Linked DNA regions of Rattus norvegicus. The protein of the gene in region 1 interacts with the protein of each later gene in a pairwise test. Links are inferred from orthologs where the notes say so. Each region holds a gene or a part of one and is shown on either strand. Other genes may lie near its edges.

Region 1 (3,674 bases):
GCCTAGAGCAGTCCATTCTTACCTTCCCCATCTGTTGCGAACTTCTGGGCAGAGGCATTCACACCTCTCACACGTTCTGCTTGGATTGCAATGTCTGCTTCAACCAGGGCATGCTTCTGTAACAAGTCTTCAACACCGAGCAAGTGTTTGCCATAGTCCTGAGACAGCAATAGCACCTGTGCACAAATGGGACAGAAAGGACACCCGTGAATACAACTGACTCCAGTGTGTCAGCGTCTTTGGACGAGCAGATTTAGCATCCTGGCCGACCTTTCCTCTGATCTGTCACTAGCCAACTTGGGCAAGACCATCCAAGTAAGTCAGAACACAACAAACGTGAGGCCTAGATCAGGAGAGACACAATGAACTAAGGATAACGTATCTTGGCAAAAGCAAATAAAATCCACATTAAAAAAACACAGAATAAAAGGGGGGAGGGTCCCTTAGAGCCTTTATGCTAATTATATAATCAATAGGAAAATCTACTTATCTTGGCATCTACTTGTATGCCAACAAGGAGACCATGGTCAGGTAAACATCATCATTTTGAACTTACTGAAATTTTCTTGTTCTTCATTCAACTTGCAAATTTTTCTCCCATCTACCAATCCACAACACTCTCAGATAAAATTTCTATTTCATTCTTGACAATTCTCAGGAAACTATGTTACCCTGAATTATAGTGCATATTATGATTCATAAAGTGAAAATCACATCTTTGATATACTTTATGAATACTTCTATTTTAAGAGGTCAAAGATCAAACCTAGTAGCATTTGTACATGTGGGGCAATAGCAGAGAGAAACTGAATCATCAGCTGACCTTGTCTCTCTGTCACCATAGCTCAAGAGGCAAGGAACAGGTAAAGACTGACATCCAGGGGCAGAGTTCTCTTACATAAGAAACACAGTGTTCTGAGAGAAAAGAGGATGGTCTAAACATTATTCTCTTCTGTTCTTAGGGATAAAACCCTTCAAGCTCAGAAACTGCTCAATAAAGATGGTGCCCTATGGTCTGCAACAAAAGAAACCAGCAGGCACAGGGCTGTGACACAATGGCTGACTTTAGGCTCAGAAGTGCCAGGGATAGAGGAGAAAGCACAAAGCAGCACCACAGCCATTACCATTCAGCCCCACAGCAACCTGTACATATCTTAGCACAACCCCAGCTTCCGAGAGCCACAAGGCAAGCGTTAGTATTGGCTCCATAAAAAGACGAAGAAGTTGGTTTGAAGAAGAGGAAGTGATACGGCAACAAGATCTGAATTCTGGCTTCCTAGCTCCTGGCCTGCACTTACCACCACCCTCCCATCTGCATACATGATCCTAGAACAGTATCACCGCTACTCAGACCACTAAACATACTAACAATGAAAAGGAAAATCACAATGATTCTCTACGTTGGTATGCACTTAACAGTGATCGAAATCACGGCAACAGATCTGGACTATATAAAGTGGTCTTTTTCACAACTTTTCCATGCCACTCATCTCATTAGGTCATGAGCTAGGCAGCTTAAAAGCACTGTGGTCTCAGTCTGGCTTTGCAAAAGAATGCAGGAGACAAAGGGGACCAGTGCCACCACAAAGAAAAGGTGTGACAGAATCAGCTCTGGCCTCCCTGCTTTCTTTTGGTCAAACGTTACCTTCATTTCATCCATCCAGTCCATAATATAAAGCATTTCCTGGAATATCTTTTGCAGTCCCAGGTTCATCTCAAGACGCTGCCTCCTGGCCCTGAGCAGTTCCAGCAAGTACTCCCAGAGGCGGATGACATTGTCCTTCCTCGCTGTGATGCGCTTGATGTCATGATAGCTCTCTGCTTCAAGCTCCCTGGCCACAGCCACCACAGCCTGCACTCGCTCTTCATACGCCGCAATGTCAGTCTCGATGGCCTCATGTTTTTTGGTGGCGGCCTCAACTGCAGGAAGGTCAAATCCAAAGTTGTCCTACAGAGACAGAGAACAAAAAGAAACATAAGTCACCTAAACGGGGGTGGGGTGGGGAGATGGCAGGCCTGGGGTGGGTAACATAGTACGTAAGCTGACTCTGCCTCTTGAGTCTCCTATGCCACTAGTTTCTCACTGCCCTAGGACCTTACAAACTTCTGGTTGAGTTCAGATGTGTTCCTAACAGTATATAAGCAGCTTCTCACTTTACAGAGCACCGACCACCTGACTTAAGATACTGAAGTTGGTAGGACTTTGTCAAGCCAAGGGAAAGTAAGTTGGCTCTTGTATTTCATGACCAGTGTCATGCCCTGAGGACGGTTGGTCAAACGCTGAGGGACAAGCATGAGGGGAACTTTTAAAGCTTACAGGAATGTGAATGATTCATAGTGACAGGCTCTGAACAAACTGCTGGAGCTCCTTCCAAGTCTATGACAAGTTAGACAAACAGACAAGAAAGTTTATCAGAAATTTTAAACATCCTCTTTGTGCAAAGGGAAGTGACTGGCTGGTCAGCAACTTCACAATACTGGATATTAAGTGCTATCCTGAGCTCCAAGGCCTCTTGGGGAGGGCTAGTGCTTCTTGGCTACCTCAGAAAACCTTGCATTAGTAATTTAGACAGAACCTGAGAGACAAGACGCTGGTTTTCGCTCAGCCATGTCTCTCTCATAGCTGCCTTGCGATCGAATCTGCGGGCAAGTTGTTCCAGTTTTTCCTGCCGTATGAGCTCATTCCGCAGAGCCAGTTCTCTCTCATGTTCTGCTTTTTCCAGTCTTTCCCAGGCCTGCAGAAGTTAAAAAAAACAAAAACAAAAAAAACCAAAAACAACAAAAAACAAAACAAAACAAAACAAAACAAAACAAAACAAAACATGGTTTCCGGCAACATTTAAGGAGCTGTCCTTGACTACAGCAACAGCTAGTATTTGTCCAAAGGATCACAGGACTTGAAAGGGAAATCCCATTTCCACCCTTGAGAAAAAGATCTTTTTCTCCCTCAGCATAGCCTCATGGGAACACCCTCTTGTCAAAGCTCAAAGATCCTGCTATAAACTTGGAAACAAACACTTTCTGGTTAAGGGGCAACACAATATCTTCTAAGTAGCTCTCATCACATAAAAGAAATAAACTGACTTTCCTCAGGGCAAATATATTAGGAATCTCTCATTCACTCCACCCAGAGCCATATTTTAAAAAATTCACATGCCTGAATTTTTCTTTCAAAATCTCCGGAAAATGTCTTACTTAATGTTTTTTAAAAAATGCCAATCACTGGACGCTCAAAGGATGCAAATGTATCAAAGGATACAAATGAACAGTTCTACATTTTTTTTCTAGTTTGTATTTGGAAATAATAGCCACAGTACAAGTCTGTACTTGCAGGCGTACGAGGCACAACAATGGAAACAGCCTGTCTAACAACTTCTCAGATGGAGAGAAACAACGGCTATGTCCACAACCTGCAGACATTCCAAGCATGTGGAATCAGATTTCCAGTTTCTTTCTATGCAACAGGAAGACATCTGAATTGAGTGCTTCACACAGATGAGGATTAAAACTGAGTATCTGGGTAACAAGGTAAACCGTGAGCCAAGGCTGTTAACGAAGTCTTAACACTGCATGCAGAGCTCCAGTGGACTGACCTATTATTACAACTCTTTGCTGGACCTTCTGCCACTCATGTCATCTACAGAGGGATTCTGGGAGTGACTCTGGTATTATCC
Region 2 (3,341 bases), on another chromosome or scaffold:
CGATTTGTGGGCAGAATAACCAAAGCTTAGAAACGGAAAAAGCCTCTTCAGCCTGCACTCTCATTTTTAAGATCCTTCCTAGTTCCCATTATGTCTGTGATGTCTTTAAACATGGCCTAGCAACCAGAGAGGATTGTTACTGTGCCACTGAGGCAGGAAGTGGGTGCAGAGCTGAACTCATATCTAAGTCCACTGCTGACCGTGTGGCCTTGTGAGTTACTCAGCTCATGAAGCTCTGTGTACAGGATTAGTGAGGTGATGGGCACAGTAACTCATACATAATCATTGATCACAGTAGTCTCATTTCCCTTCAACCTGGCAGCTCAGCACCTGTTGATGGCCTTTAAGCACGGCTGGGGGTGGAGCCAGGGATGGCTCAATGGTTAAGCACCTGCTGCCCTTCCAGAGACCCAGGTTTGATTTCCTGCACTTACGTGGCAGCTAATAACTAATTCCAGAGGATCCAGTGTCCCCTTCTGACATCAGGCAGTCGTGTGTATACATAGATACACGTGGGAAAATCACTCATGCCCAGAAATTATTTAAAACATGATAGTAATAAGGAAAAGAAAAAAAGAATTGCTGACGAAGGAGCCTCAGAAGCGCGGGAAAGGAAAAGCTGGAGACAGTAGTTTTCTAAGCCGATCCTTGCACAGGGATCCTGAACAGAGGAGACCGTGTGGTCAGACCCCCGTGGCTCCTCAGCACCCTTGTGACACAGCGGACCCCAGCCTCATTATGCAGCTGAAGCAGCGAACACGTCAGGGCTCCTCTGTCTCATACCACTAGTGAAATGGGACCTGGATCAAATCTGGATCCTAAGTCCCTATTAAATCTTTCCTCACAACGTCTTAAAGCCCTGGATGTTCCAATGTGTACTTAGACTGCCTGAGGGGGTGGAGGGGGAACATTTCCCAGTCTTACCGGACCACAGAATGCTAATACTCAGTAGCGGTCTCAGGAGCACTGTCCCACGTGAGAACAAAACTCTCCAATTCATGTGTGGTGGGCAAAGGACAGGGACCATAGAAAGCAGACGTCACACACACACTGATTCCTGCTCGTCAGACTCACCGGAAATGGCATCAGGCTCAGGCTTGCTTGCAGGCAGGTTCTCCACTGAGGTGATGCTGCCCTCTGCCCCCACGCCACAGCCCCGAGGCCCCATGGCATTGGAGCGCCGCCGCTCGTGTATCTCATCCGAGATCCTCTCCAGGCTCTTCAGGGCTGCCTTATACTCGCCTTTCGCCAGGGCCAGCTTGGCCTGAAGGTCATCCACTGTCTTCTTCAGTTGCTGAATTGGAAGATGGGGGACGCGGTAAGCCAAAGTGGCCCTGGAGGGGCTGCACGTGATTACAACACAAAGAACTTCCTGAGACACCCAAGACAATTGACTAAAGGGTCCAATGGCTTTCACTCATGGCTACCCATTCAACGGGAAGAAAATCTCTACCAGCTCAAGACACCAGTCCATGTGAACTAAATGCTAATAAAGTGCAGCCCTCACGGAAGGAACAGTAGACAGAAGTGCTGCAGCCTCCTCACTTGGTCCCCAGTAGAAGTTCCTGGCCCCATATCTGAATTACCTGTAGGACCATTTACAAGGCAGACTGCTGACCCAACCCCCAAAGGTTCTGACAGGGTGGGGAGCCTGAGAACTCTACCAGAACGCTCTTAGGGCATCTCGTCTTGGGCACTCACACCGAGACCTAATAAAGGTTGGTACAATACAACAAGCAGTTGGGTGAGAGTGAACGCTGATAGCTCCAGACAGCGCACAACACCCAAGACCACTCTGAGAACAAAAGTCTAGGTTTATGTTTCTCCATCCTCCCCTCACAGCACACGGGTCATTTAAGGCCTGTTACCGAGTTAAAGTTGAGTTTTAGAGGAGGGGTGGAGATGGAAATATTAGTGACAAATACAAGGTCCCACATACCTCGAGCTGCACGTAGTACTTGGCCTTTAGCTCAAAATAAGGCCTGTAGAAGACAGGAGAAATCCTGTAAGAACATGATCTCGTGAATTCGAGATCCATCCACTACAGCTAGCCAGGTCATTCAGGATTTAGGCTGTGGCAGTGACAAACTCCAGCAGAGCTAGTGGCTTACCCAAGGCTCAGTGACAGGGACCCCACAGACTTACTTGGACTTGTTGATGGCTCGCTTGAGTTTCTTCTCCAGCTGCCGCATGCGGCCCATGGCGGCATTGTACCTGGCCGCTGTCTCCTTGTGCACCAGCTCGCTCCGTGTCTTGGTCTGCTCAGCCTCCATGACCTTCCAAACAACAGCAGAGCCAAGGCAGGTCAAGCCCAGGACAGCTCCTGGCTTACACTGCCTATACTCACTTCATTTAACAACAAGAAGTCCCTTGAGTAAATCAACAGGAAGACTGAGATTAAATTTCAATAAAATAGGGTCTGCTTCCTTCCTGATCTGTTCTGGAAAACCAGCGACTAGGAAATAGAAAAATAAAAAACGAGAAATTTTTTAAATAGCTTCACCCAATACCTATGTTTTTCTGCTCAGGCCTGCAGAAGCTATGGGAACCCTGGGCCCAGTCTGATGGACAGGCAAGTGGCCGTCAGCACTAAGAGCTGTCTAACTAACAGAACAGCAAGACCAGGCATAGCGCAGAAAAGCCAGCGGGCAGCCTTTCCCCAAAGTCCTCAGATCAGCTAGGCACAGGAAATCCAGCGTGCAAAGGGGTCAGACTTTACACTTAAATCAGTTAAAATTAAAATGAAACAAAGTCGGTCAAATTAGAGTTTGAGGTTTGAAAAAATTTCACCATCAAGAGAAAGGCAGAGTTCTGGAGGGAAAACGGTGCTAGCCCTATTGGTAAACTAACAGCAGGAGGCCCGAGTGCCCCACACCAAGGAGAGGTGTGGGACATGCTGTTCTCCCTGTCTTTATGAAGCACCAGGTTAATGCCTCATCTGAGAGAACCCACACAACTGCTTTCCCTGTCTTCTACTCACAGCCACACTGTTCTACACAACTAGAGGAATGGCATGGAGGTTAGGCAAGGTCACCAGATCAGTCTCTGTTAACGGGAGGAACACGAGGGGCTCAGTGGACCATAGTCCTTGGCCCCTCTGTTAGAGACCCACAGGACAACTTTAGAAACTGAGGGTAAAGAAGCACACAGGTCGCCGGCATCCTCTGACCTCTGACCTCTGACCTAGTCTGAGACAAGCCTGCAGGAGCTGTGCATAGCAGACAGAGACGGAGGGGACTGTCCTTTGGATCCAGATTATGAGTGAGTCCCAGAGGCTGCACACTGAGCTACAGAGTCTGGTTTATACACTCCTCAATGTTGGATTTTGCTTTGGCCTGATT

The links.
Region 2: the proteins of Sptbn1 (region 1) and Sh3bp5 interact in a two-hybrid assay, tested with the Homo sapiens proteins (2 studies listed by BioGRID and IntAct). The link is inferred for Rattus norvegicus from reciprocal best matches to the Homo sapiens genes SPTBN1 and SH3BP5.

Annotation. Positions count from the first base shown.
Region 1 is NC_086032.1:108,085,256-108,088,929, forward strand, and holds part of Sptbn1 (spectrin beta chain, non-erythrocytic 1), read right to left. Parts: intron 2,736-3,674; coding exon 2,577-2,735; intron 1,949-2,576; coding exon 1,646-1,948; intron 177-1,645; coding exon 23-176; intron 1-22. UniProt on the Homo sapiens protein: Fodrin, which seems to be involved in secretion, interacts with calmodulin in a calcium-dependent manner and is thus candidate for the calcium-dependent movement of the cytoskeleton at the membrane.
Region 2 is NC_086034.1:6,592,426-6,595,766, forward strand, and holds part of Sh3bp5 (SH3 domain-binding protein 5), read right to left. Parts: intron 2,277-3,341; coding exon 2,146-2,276; intron 1,983-2,145; coding exon 1,940-1,982; intron 1,295-1,939; coding exon 1,075-1,294; intron 1-1,074. UniProt on the Homo sapiens protein: Functions as a guanine nucleotide exchange factor (GEF) with specificity for RAB11A and RAB25. Inhibits the auto- and transphosphorylation activity of BTK. Plays a negative regulatory role in BTK-related cytoplasmic signaling in B-cells.